Arabidopsis thaliana: one gene and its partners. Each later gene encodes a partner of the first gene's protein in a complex. Each region holds a gene or a part of one and is shown in the gene's direction. Other genes may lie near its edges.

Region 1 (4,389 bases):
GCATTTGTATTTTACATGATCTAAAAGTGTGTTTATCGTATGTGAAACCATTACGTCAACATGGATTGTTTTTACGGTATTGTGTTACAAATGTAAATACACCATTTTAATATCTAAACTCACTTTTTTCTTCTTTTTGTTTGCGGTTGAACCAACCAAGCCCATACACGAGATAAAATTGACAACTAATTTATTTTACTTGTGTAAATTGAACTTAACCTGAAATTGGCAGTGAACCAACAAATCGACTAACTCGTTCTGCATGTTTACCTTTTATTTGTTTTTAGTAAATAATATCGTATTTGGCTGCGTCTACAGCGACTTGTATTCTAGCTTTAAACCTTTTTAAAAACTTGATATGGCTATTGGCTATAAGGATTTTCTTATAATAAATTGCTTGGAGATATGGGTGAGTGCAAACTCTTTCTTGACTTTTTACGTATAAATTTGTTAAAAACTAAGGAAGCACAGTTTAACTTTTATACGGAGATAATATAATGTAAGATATCAAAATTCATAATAAGATTTGAAAGGTCCATAATTAGTGATGGAACCTTCTTACGATGGACCCATTATCAAGTAAGAACCACTAATAATCTTTGGTTAGTTAGTATATATAATACGTTTTATGCCATTCGTTAAACGCATCCTACGTTCTTGCATGTCCCATGTCCATTCATCATGTGAGACGTGTCAAAGCGTTGATGTTTACCCAAATTTGCAGAAATTAATACAGTGAAACTAATTTACTATTTTTATTTTGGCTTGACGTGTTGAAATTGTTATTGAAAATACGAATTGTCTAAGGAAAAAATTGTCATTTTACTGTGCATGAGGAAATAGATAAGAATGGTGTGTATGAGTATGATTGGGAAAGTATTTGGAGTGACGAAAATACCAGGGATATGCAAATGAAGAAATAGTGTGGTTGAAAAAGATGAGACTGGTGTGCTGATCGTTGTAGTTGAAAATGTTACGTAAAAATATATTGTATGTAGTACTCTATGAAAGATTGAAAGGATATGAGCTATTGCATATATATTGTTAGGTTGTTTTGAAATATTGTTAGTTGAAAGAAATTTATAGAGCAAGTGACAAACGAGTAAATAGAAAAGCTTTGAGAAATCACGAAAAAACATTTGAATTGTGATAAGTGGTTGATTATAATGAAAAATATTGGTATAACACAAAATATGATAAATCCTAGTTTAATAAGAATTCCACCAAATGATTGGACGAGATATATGACTAAAGAAATTATAAGCTGCATTTAGTTTTGGTTTTGAACAACATTACAAAGTGTTAGGCGGCATTTGAGTTCTCAAAGTCACAATTTCCTTGATAAACCCATTACGTTACGATATTTGTGATACATCAATATAAAATAAACTAACCAATCAATGTATTATTATAATAAAAGAATTGCTAGTTGGACAAAAACAATGAGGATCAAATCAAAATTATATTACAAATAAAGTTTCCCTAGAGATGCTATTTGAAAGATACATTGAATGCGAGCTGTGCATATTAGTATATGCTTTTCATCAGTAGTACAGTAATTTAAATATTCGAACCAATAAAATGTTTTAAAATCTTAAGAAAAAAAAAGACAAATCAAGAAGTATCAAATGCTCTTCTTATGTCTTTATCACATTTGCAAAAAAAACGAGGAAAAAAAGGCGCGAATGGTTAGACAGTTGACAGCACGACCAACTTCCATTCTTTAAGAGTTTCTTTCTTTTTGGATTCTTTTCTCACATCCAAACCAAAATTGTAATAATAAAATACAAACTATTTAAATTTAAAAAATAGGGTTTTTTGATACGGAGGATTTTGTTCTCATCTTTTAAGTACTGAGGATTTTGTTGGACATTTTCTTACCTCCATTATTGGCAGAGAGAAACAAAGAAATAAAGAACAAAAGCAAATAACAGAGAATATGGATTTGGTTCAGAAGCAGAAGAGTTTGCAAGATTACACCAAATCACTCTTCTTAGAAGTAAGTTTTTCACATTTGAAAAGATCAAATAATCAGAAAACTTGTTTTAACGTTCACAACTTTTTCTTTCTGGTTTTAGGACTTGTAGTAAAAATGGTTTTAGGACTTATAGTAAAAATGTGTTAGGCTTTTGTAGTTTCTTTGGTAAGATAATCATGAGTTTAGGTTATGTAAAATTAGTTTCTGATTATGGAAAGTCTTTTGTTTTGGGTAAATACAAAAAAGGGGATTTTGGACAGCCAGTTCTTGCAGCTGCAACAACTACAAGATGAAAGCAATCCAGATTTTGTTTCACAAGTTGTCACACTCTTCTTCCAAGACTCTGATAGGATTCTCAATGATCTCTCACTTTCCCTGTAATCTTCTTTACACATTCTCTCTTTAATCTTTTTTTTTTTGTTCTTTTCCAAAACTTGTGTTTCTCACTGTTTTTTTATGCTTCGGGCAGAGATCAACAAGTTGTAGACTTTAAAAAAGTTGATCCCCATGTTCATCAACTCAAAGGTAGCAGCTCCAGGTAACAACAAAAACAAAACTGGCTATTTCTGATTTTAATCCAATGATAATGACATTTTCTTGATCTTGAAATGTGTAACAATATATATTGCCAAAAAATAACAGTATAGGAGCACAGAGAGTTAAGAATGCTTGTGTTGTCTTCCGCAGCTTCTGCGAGCAGCAAAATGTCGAAGCGTGAGTTTAATCGATATGTTCGTTGGTCCATTCGTTATTTCTTTGTTTTAAGATCTGATTAGGAAAATACATCGTTGAAAAATTTCAGATGTCATAGATGTTTGCAACAAGTGAAGCAAGAGTATTATCTTGTGAAAAACAGATTAGAGACTCTGTTCAAGGTAAAAAGTCAAAGAGACTTTTTTTTTTTTTATAAAACCACCCACATAACTCTTATCTAGTTATACAATATTTTGATCAACATTTGAAACTTATCTGATTCAATTTTGGTTTTGATGATCGAATCTATGCAGCTGGAGCAACAGATTGTAGCTTCTGGTGGAATGATCCCGGCCGTCGAACTCGGATTTTGAGTGAATTTCATAAACATCTCTGTCCATTGTTGTTTCATTTTGGACTCTCTCTTCTTCCTCTCTTTATGTGACTATCAAAAAAAGGTTCTTATGTGAACTTCTTTCTTTGTGCCATTGGAAGAGTGAGACATGCTAAAACGTTTCTTAATCCACATCTAAATCCCACATATGTAAAATAAGATCTCAAGCAAACATATAGTCATGAGTCATGACTACAATTATATAGAGTTTGATCAAGATAATGTACGCATCAAGGTAATGTGATCCGGACAACTTGGTTAGGTATTAGGTTGTTGTTTTACTGTAACTGTTAGAAGTAGTTAGAAGTCTTGTAGTCCTTGACCAAAGAACACAGATGGGCCATATGAATTTTAGTAGCCCAAGATGATAACAAAGGGCCCGTACTAAACATCCATGATGATCTTGGAAATCTTTTTTTTATTACGATTGCACTTCGACGAATCTCTAAAGATTTTCAGACATTTATACAATGCAATTAAGAAAAAAATAAAGTTATACTATGTGAGTGCACGTTAAATAATGTAGCTAAAAATAAAATAATGACAAAATTCTTAATTACTTACAGATCCGTGACCTGTCGTCGACTATATATGGCTCCAATTTATAACCTCATGTTCGATTTCTAGACTTCTAGTTTACCACTTATAACTTTGTATTGCTCTATACTCGTATTAATTAGTGCTCCATCTTTTTTATTTGAACTTTTTTGGGTAAAGAATGAGCGTTCCCTTCATCGTTTGTTCATAACTTTACTAGTTCCTTTAATTGTACCTTCTGTTTAATTTTGTTTTCAAGTGACCTTTTTGTCTTTTCAATAATAATTAAGATTTCCAGTTCGTAATTTCGTATGTATAATGAACCATACCATTAATTATGCAATATGACAAAAATATGATGTTTATATGTTCTTCCACCTTGTTATTATCGATTACAAATTTAAATAAGGATCATAGGGTAAATAACACTTTTTTTTTTTTGGTTATAATCAATATCTTATTCCTATTTTATTGTTTCAAACATGCATAGTATCCAAAGGGAAGCATGTTTTGGTGAAAATATATGCATAGAAGAAGAAGACTAATCAGTAATCAAGACAAGAGATAGGTTGAATAATTCCATTAAGTTTTCTCCTATCTGTAGTCTAAATCACTAGTTACAACTTTCAACACACATGAAACACATTATACATGCATCATTATTCATTAATGTGTTAGGTTACGCTACGTATATTTTGTGTAGATTTGAAAGTACAGATATGTAATGTAATTATCATACAAACATCTCTTAATTAAAGTCTCCCACAAAGCCACAATATGGTGTAAG
Region 2 (6,913 bases), on another chromosome or scaffold:
ATCTCCTTCACCACCGTCCATAATTTTTGGCGCGAGAGCAACAAAAAAAAAAAAACACGACAAACAGAAGAAACTTGTTTGAAAATGATTAGACCACGTGTTAGTCAACGGTAATTCCACGTGTAACATTGAGGCTGACGTGGAACATGTGACTAACCACATCACATGTTTCCTATTAGCCACTTACGGACGGGACAAAAGCCTCCGAGCGCCGTTCAGATCGGGACTTAAGACACCAAAAATGGCTTAGCTGTTTTCTTAAATTATTTTAATTTAAAGACCCTTTAATTTATTATTATTAGTTTTGATTATTGTGTGTACTATTACCACTAGTTGCTAATTTTTTAGTATTTAATTTATTGATATAGAAATGGGATTGATTTCAGACAACTAATTTTGTGCCAATACAGTTGTTGTCCGCTCCATTGAATTGTGAGGATTGGGTCTTATTCATTTTTTCTATTAGCTTTTCTCGTGTTTTTTTATGCGCAAGGTGTTCAAATTATTGATCATACTAGTTTGCAACTGAAATTGAAGCGTAGAATATAGTTTAAGATTTGGGTGATTAATACAAATATTATACTACTAGTTACGATACATTTATTTGTGGTACTACATGTGCTTTCTGCTATTCATGAAACAATGAATGTCCCGACCCAATTCGAATATTTGTGTACTTTCGTCAACATTGACATTCTATAGACTATATATTAGAACCACATGATTATACATTTTAAAAAAAAATCTTCTTTTTTCGTAATGAGTAGTAGTACAAAAGGCAAAAGAAATAAATCATGCATTCGTTACTTATTGACAACTAGAAATAACTATAATTATGTTTAGTTATTTTCATTATCGGATCATCAAATCATCTAATATATTTTTCCAAAAGCTTAACATTCTACAAAACTTTACAACACAAAAATTTATATATATGATTCAACTTAAAAATTCATGAGCTAAACAGAGTTGCTCTGTTTCGGAAAATCATTCTAATTACGTAGAATAAAACTCACTTATATAAATCTACTAATCAAAGAGTTGTCCAGTTTACTGATTAAGTAGCCAAATCATGAATTAATAGTGATCGTCGTCGAGCAAATTAAAATCCAAATCTATAACAATTATTGACGCCACTTCTAGTTACTCCTCAATAAAGGAAGTTGCTAATACTTAATTAAAAAATAGTGTGACTATCCTCAATATACTCGGAGCGTGACGTAAACGCGCCGCCTTATAGCTTCCGTCGTCAACTCTGTGAGGTATAAAAGACGTAAGGAAAAGCAGAGAAACTGGAGGAAAAAAAAGAACAGAGAGAAAGAGAGAAGAGTGAATTGTGAGACAGATCGAAACGTGTCAATCTGTGTGTCATTCGATAGTAACTCGGATTCGGTCTCAGAAAGAAAACAAACGTGCACACACAGAGCAGAGAGACAGAGTCGCCATTAAAATATGTCCAACTTAAAAATGTGAGAAAGAGAGAGAAGAGAAGAGAAGAGAAGAGATGAATATAATATACATTGACCTCTCTGTCTCATGAGCAAGCACATGTCCTCTCTCTCTCTCTCTTTCTCTTCTCCGTAAAAAAAATTACCAATCTTTCACAATTCATTCACATGCTCCTCTCTCTTTCTTCATTGGCTATTCTCTTCCCAATGCTCATTTGAAGTTTATTTACTCTACTCCCGACGACCACGACTCTTCTTCAGATCTACTCACTCCTTCTTTCTCTCCTTCTTCTTCTTCATTTTTCCGGTGACCGGAGTCGGAGAAGGTAAAGCTTCTGATCCCTTCCCCTTTCCTCCGGCATACTCGTTCCTCTGCTTTGTCTTTCGTTTTTTTCATTTCTTTCTGTTTCAGCCTTTTGCATCTCGAGACTTCATGATTACAATTTCTTTATGTTTCTCAATGCAAGATTTTCGTTTATAATATATGATCACTGATGTCAAGAATAAATCACCAAAGATTTTTTTCTTTCCATATATTTTTTCCGATCATCGCTCAAAAAAAAGTTTCATCGTTTAAATTTATTTTCAGATTTTATCGTTTATTGGTGAATTTTATGATCCTAGTTGATAATTCAATCTGAAAAAAGAAACTGATACAGTTTTCTTTTTGAAGCTCTGCAAATTTCTGATTTTTAAGCTCGAATCATATAATTTGAAGTTTCCCGCTAATGTTCAATCAGAATTGGTCCACACACTTAGTTGTTGTGGACCCTTTGCAAAATTCTATTTTAGTTCATTATTTTTCACATTTTACAGATCAAGATTCTCTGATGGAGATGGTTTGTCCTGACTCTAACCTCTGTGTTTGAAAATATCTATACAGGTTCTTTATTCAGATCAAGGTTCTGGCTTAAAGAAAAAAGTTGTTTGAATTTTGAGATTTGTCTGGTCCATTGTGTTGCTGTTGTTGTATGAAGAGAAACCTTGATCAATGGTCTGTGAAATGGAGACTGATCAGATTGAGGAAATGGATGTCGAAGTTTTGTCTTCGATGTGGCCCGAAGATGTTGGAACTGAAGCTGACAAACAGTTCAACGTCGAGAAACCTGCCGGAGATTTAGACACGTTGAAAGAAGTTACTATCGAGACACGGACCATTGCGGATATGACACGGTTACCAAACCTATTGAATTCGACTCATCAAGGCTCCTCTCAACTAACCAACCTTGTGAAACAATGGGAGTATATGCAAGACAACGCGGTTCGGCTGTTAAAAGAAGAGCTAAAAAATCTCGATAGACAGAGAGAAGAAGCCGAGGCTAAAGAGTTGAAGATCATTGAGGAGTATAAGTTTGAGAGCAACGAGCCTGAGAATGTTCCGGTTTTGGATGAGACGAGTGATTTGTTCCGCAGGTTTAGGCAGAAAAAACGAGATGCCTTGGTCGATAGCAAGAAGATTGAGATCTATGAGGAGTTTGACACTGTTGCATATTGGAAACAGAAGGCGTTGAGTCTTGAGAAAATGCTTGAGGCGAGTACTGAGAGAGAAAGGCGATTGATGGAGAAGCTGAGTGAGAGTTTGAAAACTATGGAGAGTCAGTCAGCACCGGTCCAAGAGCTTACTCAGAATCTTAAGAGAGCTGAAGGTTTCTTGCATTTCATACTTCAGAATGCACCTATTGTTATGGGCCATCAGGTAAAGTAAAAGGTGATTCTTGATCTTGTTTTCGATCTTTTCGACTTTTCTGATTCTTTGTTACTTATGAGTTTCAGGATAAAGATTTACGCTACTTGTTCATCTACAACAAGTATCCTAGTTTACGGGAACAGGTTAGAAGAAAACTTTTTCTTCTGTTGGATTTATTGAATCATTCTCTGAGGAAATGTGTTTAAATCAAAATCTGTTTCTTACTATATTTCAGGACATTTTGGGAAAAACAGACGTGGAGATATTCCATGGAGGTGGAGTTAAAGAATCTGAAGATTTCAAGAGAGAAGTTCTTGAGAAAGGAAAAGCTTCAAAGAGAGAGATCACATTTACTACAGATTTATTTGGATCAAAGACGTTTTTGATATATGTTGAGCCTGTTTACAACAAAGCTGGCGAGAAAATCGGTATAAACTACATGGGAATGGAAGTAACTGATCAGGTTAGTTAGCTAAAGATTTTTGAACTATTCTATAATCTATGTTCTCATTTTCACATCTTCACTGGATCTTCCTGTGTTACAGGTAGTGAAAAGGGAGAAAATGGCGAAACTTAGAGAAGATAACGCTGTGAGAAAGGCGATGGAATCAGAACTGAACAAGACTATTCACATTACAGGTTTGTTCAAGTTAAGCAGTGAAAGTTTTAGAAAGATTAATGAGAAAACTAGACTTAGGTGTTGTGTTTTTTCTTTTGCAGAGGAGACAATGAGAGCAAAGCAGATGCTAGCGACGATGTCTCATGAGATAAGGTCACCATTGTCAGGAGTAGTGGGAATGGCTGAGATACTTTCAACTACAAAACTGGATAAAGAGCAAAGACAGTTGTTGAATGTCATGATCTCTTCTGGTGATTTGGTGCTTCAGCTAATCAACGACATTCTTGATCTCTCCAAGGTTGAATCAGGTACAATATACTGTTTTCAAAGTTTTTGATCTTGTGGTGTGGTCATTGTTCAAATCCTCGATTACATATGTTATTTTTTGGTATTTGTGTGTTCTTTTTAGGTGTGATGAGATTAGAAGCTACAAAGTTTCGACCAAGAGAAGTAGTGAAGCATGTGCTACAGACAGCTGCAGCATCGCTGAAGAAATCTTTGACATTAGAAGGAAACATTGCAGATGATGTTCCTATTGAGGTTACTACACATTTCAGAAAGAGTTAAATGTGGCAAAAGTCTTTGTGATCTTAACTTTTTTTCCTTTAAATGTTTAGGTAGTTGGAGATGTTCTAAGGATTAGGCAGATCCTCACCAATTTGATAAGGTTCTTTACCTGATTCCTGTATTATTTGCATAATGACAAGTTTCGGTTCCTGATTTGTTCAAACGTTTTGCAGCAATGCTATCAAGTTTACACATGAAGGAAATGTAGGAATCAAACTCCAAGTGATATCAGAACCATCCTTTGTGCGGGATAACGCATTGAACGCAGACACCGAGGAACACGAACAAAACGGTTTGACCGAGACTTCAGTTTGGATTTGCTGTGACGTATGGGACACTGGAATTGGAATCCCAGGCAAGCAAGCAATTCTGACAAATGAACATGAAAAGACTAAAAAACTCCAACTAACCTATATATTAACCTGGTTCATGTTTTGGTGTTCTTGTGCAGAAAACGCTCTTCCATGTTTGTTCAAGAAGTACATGCAAGCAAGCGCTGATCATGCCCGAAAATACGGTGGGACTGGTCTCGGACTTGCTATTTGTAAACAGCTGGTAAGCTATTATTAGGATTTTACAACACTACAGAAGAAACTAATGAAGCTCGTTATCCTAATCTTTCTCTGTTTGTTTACAGGTTGAGTTAATGGGAGGCCAACTCACTGTGACAAGCCGGGTGAGCGAAGGTTCAACGTTCACATTTATATTACCCTACAAAGTTGGAAGATCAGATGATTATTCAGATGATCAAGATGAGTTCTCTGATATGGCGGATCAACAATCTGAACCAGACGATACAGCTGAAGGATATTTCCAGTTTAAACCGCTCTTAGGATCGATATATTCGAATGGCGGACCGGGGATCAGCAATGACTTCTTACCTCATAAAGTCATGCTTACTAGTCCTATTAAGCTCATCAATGGTTTTGTCGCTGATCCCTCTAATAACACTGGACAGAGCGAGATGCTACAGCTTGAAAACGGTGGTTACATGGATGAATCTAAACTCGAAACCAGTTCTGGTCATTGCCCTGAATCAGCTCACCAATATGAGAATGGAAATGGTCGATGTTTCTCTAAGGAATCTGAATCTTGTAGCAGTTCACAAGCTAGCTCAGAAGGTGGAACCTTAGAAATGGAGTCAGAGCTCACAGTTTCATCTCATAGGGAAGAGGAAAAAGCCGAGACAGAAGTAAAAGAAACATCAAAGCCAAAGATTTTGCTTGTGGAAGATAATAAGATCAACATCATGGTTGCAAAGTCGATGATGAAGCAGTTAGGCCATACCATGGATATTGCTAATAATGGAGTTGAAGCCATAACCGCGATTAATAGCTCTAGCTACGATCTGGTACTCATGGTATGTAAATTTTCTTAGCTCTAAGGACTTGTCCTTTTCAAATTCACTTATATTTGAAAAAGGCTTATAATTCATATTGGGTTCACAGGATGTGTGCATGCCGGTGCTCGATGGTTTAAAAGCTACAAGACTGATCCGTTCGTATGAAGAAACTGGGAACTGGAATGCTGCAATAGAAGCCGGAGTAGATATATCGACATCGGAGAATGAACAAGTTTGTATGCGTCCCACAAACCGGCTGCCTATAATCGCGGTCAGTACTTCTTTTTTGAATACTAAACACAGAGATCTAATGCATAACTTGAGAAAACTGATAGTCAGAATGCGTTGTGGAATGTGCAGATGACGGCAAATACTTTAGCAGAGAGTTCAGAAGAATGTTATGCAAATGGTATGGACTCGTTTATTTCGAAACCTGTAACGTTGCAAAAACTGAGAGAGTGTTTGCAACAGTATTTGCACTGAGATTTCAGATTTTTGTGTTTTGTAGATTAAGAAATGGTTGTGTTGTATATAAATTGTGTAGGAAAAAAGTTTTGGAGAGCTACTAAGTAGCTTCCTCTTTTTAGAGATGTATAGTTCAATAAATAAATAAAAGCTTCTCTTCTTTATTTATTTGTGGGAAATTTCTGGCGAGAGAAACAAGTAAACATTTTTGTTCCCACCATTCGAATCCAGCAGAGTACTAAAAGCAGCCAAGCTCTACAAAACGACATTGAGCATACTTAAGCTTTTCAAAACGGACTTATCTCGATTTCTGTTGGCTGTAACGTTGTATTCCATGGACATCCACAATCCCGGGAGGGAACACTGGATCTGTGGCTGCTCTAACTGCGACTTTTGCAACCGATTCAACATTCACCGGAGGTGTGAACAAAGGTCCGACTAATGGAAGCTGGTTCAGAGGTTTTGCTTGTTGAAGAACCTACATAAAGCCACAAACATTATGAGTAACGAGGTAATCTTGAGGGATATTGCTATAAAGAGAGGATCTCTTACCATCTCCATGGGTGAACCAAATACTCCTAACGGGATCTTCATGCTCCCAACACTGCGAGTTCCATATATAAAACCAGGTCGCAAGATTATACCTGCACAACATTCACCAAAACTTCAAATGTAAAAAACAAACGAGTTTCAGAGAGAGTTTTGTAGATGTACCACGAAACTTATACCTCCATATGCAAATCTTGTGAGCAGCTCGGTCTCAGCAGCTCGCTGTAAGGATGAAA
Region 3 (5,813 bases), 1.8 Mb from region 1:
ATATGAAACAAGTCGTATGTCACACTTAAAACTATCGTTAATTTGAAAAAGATAAGACATGTCGGCGGTGCTAAACAACTATTTAAGCAAAGTATACACTGAACTTGGATAACTTAGATATAGTTTACATTGAAGTTGACAAATTTACACATTTATAAATAAGTTACTGGTTTGTATGTGTTTATAAATATGTCGTAGAGCAATCGAATAGTCAAATATGATTTGTTATCCTATACATTATTAAAAATATACTTTCGGGGGAATAGGGCGATTGGTGGGTAGCATATGATGTTACTAATCATTCAGATGAACCATTTGCATTATTTCTTTGTTTATTTAGTATCCAACGTTTTAAGAGAAGAAGCGCACATGTTTTTTTTTGCACCATATACTGACTACTGTTGTTGTAAACTTGTAATTATACATACATATATATATATATATATATATATATATATGTTTTCAACAATCAAACGTACAATTTTTTTCTATTTTCCATTTAATACAATTTATTTCCTAGAACTACAAGTTGTTTTTGATTAAAACATGAAAAGTATACTATATAAGTTATATTCTTACTAATCATAGTTACACACGACTTGAAATAAATACATACTAAAAAATTTGGAAGGTTATATGTTTAATTTGCACCAAAAAAGGCATCGAGTAATCTTATGTTATGTATACATCATATATCTGGTTTTTTTTTGTTGATAAAAGTATATGTACTATATCTTAGCTAAAGATGTAGGTGATGATGGGAAATGCTTAGGTGTATTTTGGTACCTTAATCATATGCTTGAATGTGCGTAGACGTATTATTTTGTTTAATTTAATGATATGATTATATTTTTATTTTGCCGTTTAATTTAATACATGTAGGTCCAATAGACAGGAGGCATTGTTTCTCAATTACATAAATTCAAAGGGTAGTTTAGTAAATAAATTATAGGCATATCAAAACTAAGAATTTTTTATATATATATGCAGCTGCTCTTTTGTTTAAGGCAAATTCCTATTCGAAATTGGTAGAAAATGGAAATTAAAACAAAAAATTAGGAAACTAACAACAATAATACTAATGAAAATCTATTAAGGTTTGAGTTTGCAAACTTTACATATGACGAGTTAATTAATTTTTTCATGCATGAGCTGGATCCACGAATCAAGGGTCTTTGGTCCCACTTTCTTCCCAATTATATAAATTTCCTTACCCTATATTTCTTTCATTGATGATTCAACCCCTATATTTCACTACTTCACAAAATAACCCAGAATTTGAGCTCAAAGCAACATCCAAAATGTTCTTCTAAATAGAAAAATAAAACAGAATATAGAACAATAGTACATATAATATACAAAACTAACTTGTAAGAAATTGAGAATAAAAAAGAGAGTGGATCTAAATGAAATTTAATAAAACCAATAGTCTAAATGTAGAGAGAATGATGAAAATAAAGGACATGTCAGCTTCTACATATATGTAAATAAAAAATATATATGACTGAGTATATAAAAACCACATTTTTTTTTTCTTCTGCATCTAAATGTTACAAAAATTGAATAGGAAAAATTAAGAGAGCTTTACTCTGTGAATAAATAAAAAAACAGAGAAAAAGAGCTCTAAGGTGAGACAAGCCTTGTCTTCTTCAACTCCCTAAGTCTCATCTCACCATCTCTCTCTTCTTCTTTTTTTTGGTTACCCAGAAGAGATTCACTTCTATCTCCAACAATTTCGTATTCTCTCATAATATTCAATTTTAAATCGAATAAAACTCGCGTCAATTTCCCCTCTTTCTTTCTGGGTATATATTCTTTTCTGCTTTTCTTTTTTTGTTTCTTGGGTTCGAGCTACATAGAGAGAGGTATGATGAATCCGAGTCACGGAAGAGGACTCGGATCGGCTGGTGGGTCCAGCTCCGGTAGAAATCAAGGAGGTGGTGGTGAGACCGTCGTCGAGATGTTTCCTTCTGGTCTTCGAGTTCTTGTCGTTGACGATGACCCAACTTGTCTCATGATCTTAGAGAGGATGCTTAGGACTTGTCTTTACGAAGGTTCGTATCCAAAAACCAAGATCTTCTCTTTTCATTTTTTTTTTTTTTTTTTTGTTCGTTTAATCTCACGAGAGAGAGAGAGAGAGAGAGAGAAAGAGAGTTCATGGTCTCTTGCTCCAATGATGGGTTTATTTGTGGTCCATTCTCGAAAATTATGTTATTTTGAGGAATAATTATGGTTTTCATATCGGTGGTTGACTAACTTTGCTCCCCCTTTAATAGAAACCATTTTGGTTACTTTTTAAGATTCACATATTAATCTCGAGCTTCTTCATTTAGATCACACCATTTTGATCTACTGATAGATTCACATGTAGATCCATTGTATATAATAAGTTAGGGGAGGTTTCAAATGGATTCAAATCTTGAGTCTTTGATCTTTGACTTGAGTTTTGGTTAAATGTCAATTCATGAGGTCCTTGTTGTCAGAATTCAAATCTCTGTTTTTTTCTTTTATCTTTGAAGATATGAAACATTTTGGTTGTTATGACATGCAGTAACGAAATGCAACAGAGCAGAGATGGCATTGTCTCTGCTCCGGAAGAACAAACATGGATTCGATATAGTAATCAGTGATGTTCATATGCCTGACATGGACGGTTTCAAGCTTCTTGAGCATGTTGGTCTAGAGATGGACTTACCTGTTATCAGTAACGTTCTTTTTACTCCCTCAAATCTCATCTAAGTTTGAATCTTTTTTTATAGATTATTGATCTTGTATTCGTTTAACTAGTGATGTCTGCGGATGATTCAAAGAGTGTGGTTCTAAAGGGAGTAACGCACGGTGCGGTTGATTACCTTATCAAGCCTGTACGTATGGAGGCACTTAAGAACATATGGCAGCATGTAGTTAGGAAGAGGAGAAGTGAATGGAGTGTACCGGAACATTCTGGGAGCATTGAGGAGACTGGCGAGAGACAGCAGCAGCAACATAGAGGAGGTGGTGGTGGTGCAGCTGTTTCTGGTGGAGAGGATGCGGTGGATGATAACTCATCCTCGGTTAACGAAGGTAACAATTGGAGGAGCAGTTCACGGAAGAGGAAAGACGAGGAAGGAGAAGAGCAAGGAGATGATAAGGACGAAGATGCGTCGAATTTGAAGAAACCGCGTGTCGTCTGGTCTGTTGAATTGCATCAGCAGTTTGTTGCTGCTGTTAATCAGCTCGGCGTTGAGAGTAAGACTAAAACTTCTTACATTTGCATTTGTGATTGTTATGCTCAGGGTCTAAATGATCTTCTATGGCGCAGAGGCGGTTCCTAAAAAGATCTTAGAGCTGATGAATGTTCCTGGTCTAACCCGAGAAAACGTAGCAAGTCACCTCCAGGTATAAATCTTATACTGGATACCAAAATGAGCCATTGAAATGCTTAGATGTTCTTAGCGGCTTTATGTGGACTTGCAGAAATACCGGATATATCTAAGACGGCTTGGAGGGGTATCGCAGCACCAAGGCAATCTTAACAACTCGTTTATGACGGGTCAGGATGCGAGCTTCGGACCTCTTTCGACATTGAATGGGTTTGATCTTCAAGCACTAGCCGTCACAGGTCAGTTACCTGCACAGAGTCTTGCACAGCTTCAAGCCGCTGGTTTAGGCCGGCCTGCGATGGTCTCTAAGTCAGGTTTGCCGGTTTCCTCCATTGTGGATGAGAGAAGCATCTTCAGCTTTGACAACACGAAAACAAGATTTGGAGAAGGGCTTGGGCATCACGGGCAACAACCCCAACAGCAACCACAGATGAACTTACTTCACGGTGTCCCCACGGGTTTACAACAGCAGCTTCCTATGGGTAATCGAATGAGTATTCAACAACAGATTGCTGCTGTTCGAGCTGGAAATAGTGTTCAAAACAACGGAATGCTGATGCCTCTAGCGGGTCAGCAGTCTTTGCCTCGGGGACCACCGCCTATGCTAACCTCTTCGCAATCATCCATCAGGCAGCCGATGTTATCAAACCGCATTTCCGAGAGAAGTGGTTTCTCTGGAAGGAACAATATCCCCGAGAGCAGCAGAGTGTTACCGACAAGTTACACTAATCTCACAACACAACACTCATCAAGCTCGATGCCTTATAACAACTTCCAACCAGAACTTCCCGTGAACAGTTTCCCGCTGGCAAGTGCACCAGGGATATCAGTACCGGTTCGGAAAGCCACTTCTTACCAGGAAGAGGTTAACAGCTCCGAAGCGGGTTTCACTACGCCGAGCTACGACATGTTCACCACCAGACAGAATGATTGGGATCTGAGGAATATTGGAATAGCCTTTGACTCACATCAGGACTCAGAATCCGCTGCGTTTTCCGCTTCAGAAGCCTACTCTTCTTCGTCCATGTCAAGACACAACACGACAGTTGCAGCCACCGAGCATGGCCGAAACCACCAGCAGCCACCATCGGGAATGGTACAGCACCATCAGGTTTATGCAGACGGAAACGGTGGTTCAGTGAGGGTGAAATCAGAGAGAGTGGCTACGGATACAGCAACAATGGCGTTTCACGAGCAGTATAGTAATCAAGAAGATCTTATGAGCGCACTTCTTAAGCAGGTTTGATTTGATTTTTTTTTTTTTGTCAAACTTATATAGAAGCATAATCTGATCCGTCAACGTACATGTTTGCGTTCAAAATCAAATATATAACAACTCTCAGACGCTTTCTCACCATTGGTCGCATGTCTTTTTCATAATAATGCAAATTACAACTAAATAACAAAAAAAATCAGTGAACCAAAAAAGTTGAAAAACACAATCTTGAATTATTGATATACAGGAAGGGATTGCACCGGTTGATGGCGAATTCGACTTTGACGCATACTCCATCGATAACATTCCGGTTTGATTGGATAAAAAAACCGATAAACCGGAGGGACTACCCGGATCTGTACTGTATCATTTTTACACGACGATCTACTAAAACTTGTTTGATATATATGTAGTCTGCATGAAATTTTAAATGGCAGATTATATAAGAAATAATTATTCATGTTAGGGGTTAATATCCTTGGAGATTCTTTTGTTCCTCATTTATGTAGTGAGGCTGTTTAGGGTTTTGTAAGTATGTATTTCGAGTAAATGCTTAGAATAATTCGAACAAACTTAATTTAGTACAACGCCACAACGTGAAATCAAAGCAATTCAAGATCAAAACACAAAGGGATTTGTCTGTTCAATATTTGTATGTATACATACTGATTACTAAAATCTGATCATACGAAATTCAAGAATCACACGGTGCACAAAGCACCACTAGTAGTAGAAGTAATTCTGCATCAAATCTGGTTAGAAAGAATCAAGAAAACTGTATATTTTCTGGCTAATGAGGAAAGTCCTTCACTGGAACTTTTAAATCCGAAGAAACAGTAGAGCCAAAAATGGTGTCAGGATGAGAAGAAAGGTGGATACATGTTTCCTGTGACTGTTGCTCGTGGGTAGTACAGAAGGGAGTGAACATTCCTGGCCGTTGAAGAGTACTTTGGTGGGAAACCCATCTTTGGAACCAACTTTGATTCCAGGAGTCAGTTTCTTGGTGAAGGAGATAACCGACTGCTGTTTCCCGGGTATCCGAAAGTCTTCACTCGGGTTTTTTCCGTCTTTCTCTGCAAGGAGATAGTTCAGTCCAGGGAGCCCTTCCATTAAAACAGTTGTGTTCTTCCCGTTGACCGCGATGATACTTCCGTTAAACGAGTACGCTTTCTGAAAACCGGGTGCAGCATTTCTCAGTTCAACCGCGGTAAACCAATCCACGAAATCAGTATCAC

Evidence for each region.
Region 2: the proteins of AHP1 (region 1) and HK5 are in contact, whole or in part, in a crystal structure (PDB 4EUK), measured with the Arabidopsis thaliana proteins. Residues at the interface, in NP_188788.1 of Arabidopsis thaliana: Gln26 (codon at 2,240), Gln29 (codon at 2,249), Leu30 (codon at 2,252), Gln32 (codon at 2,258), Leu33 (codon at 2,261), Asp35 (codon at 2,267), Asn38 (codon at 2,276), Phe41 (codon at 2,285), Gln44 (codon at 2,294), Val45 (codon at 2,297), Leu48 (codon at 2,306), Phe49 (codon at 2,309), Asp52 (codon at 2,318), His79 (codon at 2,491), Gln80 (codon at 2,494), Lys82 (codon at 2,500), Gly83 (codon at 2,503), Ser84 (codon at 2,506), Ser86 (codon at 2,512), Ser87 (codon at 2,515), Ile88 (codon at 2,622), Arg101 (codon at 2,661); in NP_196633.2 of Arabidopsis thaliana: Asp785 (codon at 5,553), Asn786 (codon at 5,556), Lys787 (codon at 5,559), Ile788 (codon at 5,562), Asn789 (codon at 5,565), Met791 (codon at 5,571), Val792 (codon at 5,574), Ser795 (codon at 5,583), Met796 (codon at 5,586), Gln799 (codon at 5,595), Cys830 (codon at 5,776), Ala885 (codon at 6,030), Asn886 (codon at 6,033), Thr887 (codon at 6,036), Glu890 (codon at 6,045), Pro907 (codon at 6,096), Val908 (codon at 6,099), Thr909 (codon at 6,102), Leu910 (codon at 6,105).
Region 3: the proteins of AHP1 (region 1) and RR1 are in contact, whole or in part, in a crystal structure (PDB 9H6E), measured with the Arabidopsis thaliana proteins. Residues at the interface, in NP_188788.1 of Arabidopsis thaliana: Gln26 (codon at 2,240), Gln29 (codon at 2,249), Leu30 (codon at 2,252), Leu33 (codon at 2,261), Asp35 (codon at 2,267), Ser37 (codon at 2,273), Asn38 (codon at 2,276), Phe41 (codon at 2,285), Gln44 (codon at 2,294), Val45 (codon at 2,297), Leu48 (codon at 2,306), Phe49 (codon at 2,309), Asp52 (codon at 2,318), Pro76 (codon at 2,482), His79 (codon at 2,491), Gln80 (codon at 2,494), Lys82 (codon at 2,500), Gly83 (codon at 2,503), Ser84 (codon at 2,506), Ser86 (codon at 2,512), Ser87 (codon at 2,515), Ile88 (codon at 2,622), Arg101 (codon at 2,661); in NP_566561.2 of Arabidopsis thaliana: Asp44 (codon at 1,997), Asp45 (codon at 2,000), Pro46 (codon at 2,003), Thr47 (codon at 2,006), Cys48 (codon at 2,009), Met50 (codon at 2,015), Ile51 (codon at 2,018), Arg54 (codon at 2,027), Met55 (codon at 2,030), Thr58 (codon at 2,039), His91 (codon at 2,635), Ser116 (codon at 2,793), Ala117 (codon at 2,796), Asp118 (codon at 2,799), Lys138 (codon at 2,859), Pro139 (codon at 2,862), Met142 (codon at 2,871).

What each region holds. Positions count from the first base shown.
Region 1 is NC_003074.8:7,577,088-7,581,476, reverse strand, and holds AHP1 (histidine-containing phosphotransmitter 1), read left to right. Parts: upstream 1-1,687; 5' UTR 1,688-1,939; coding exon 1,940-1,999; intron 2,000-2,224; coding exon 2,225-2,355; intron 2,356-2,447; coding exon 2,448-2,516; intron 2,517-2,620; coding exon 2,621-2,692; intron 2,693-2,780; coding exon 2,781-2,853; intron 2,854-2,985; coding exon 2,986-3,045; 3' UTR 3,046-3,765; downstream 3,766-4,389. UniProt on the Arabidopsis thaliana protein: Functions as a two-component phosphorelay mediators between cytokinin sensor histidine kinases and response regulator (B-type ARRs). Plays an important role in propagating cytokinin signal transduction through the multistep His-to-Asp phosphorelay.
Region 2 is NC_003076.8:3,384,396-3,391,308, forward strand, and holds HK5 (histidine kinase 5), read left to right. Parts: upstream 1-1,505; 5' UTR 1,506-1,774; intron 1,775-2,331; 5' UTR 2,332-2,439; coding exon 2,440-3,144; intron 3,145-3,221; coding exon 3,222-3,278; intron 3,279-3,370; coding exon 3,371-3,598; intron 3,599-3,680; coding exon 3,681-3,774; intron 3,775-3,855; coding exon 3,856-4,062; intron 4,063-4,163; coding exon 4,164-4,294; intron 4,295-4,371; coding exon 4,372-4,421; intron 4,422-4,494; coding exon 4,495-4,676; intron 4,677-4,772; coding exon 4,773-4,876; intron 4,877-4,958; coding exon 4,959-5,681; intron 5,682-5,769; coding exon 5,770-5,934; intron 5,935-6,023; coding exon 6,024-6,146; 3' UTR 6,147-6,291; downstream 6,292-6,913. Other genes in the region: AT5G10730 (NAD(P)-binding Rossmann-fold superfamily protein), read right to left, coding at 6,427-6,606, 6,681-6,772, 6,857-6,899. UniProt on the Arabidopsis thaliana protein: Functions as a histidine kinase and transmits the stress signal to a downstream MAPK cascade.
Region 3 is NC_003074.8:5,754,246-5,760,058, forward strand, and holds RR1 (response regulator 1), read left to right. Parts: upstream 1-1,575; 5' UTR 1,576-1,867; coding exon 1,868-2,054; intron 2,055-2,110; exon of another isoform or gene 2,111-2,469; intron 2,470-2,551; coding exon 2,552-2,704; intron 2,705-2,787; coding exon 2,788-3,228; intron 3,229-3,301; coding exon 3,302-3,378; intron 3,379-3,456; coding exon 3,457-4,602; coding exon of another isoform or gene 4,603-4,608; exon of another isoform or gene 4,609-4,825; coding exon 4,826-4,894; 3' UTR 4,895-5,198; downstream 5,199-5,813. Other genes in the region: COBL8 (COBRA-like protein 8 precursor), read right to left, coding at 5,398-5,813.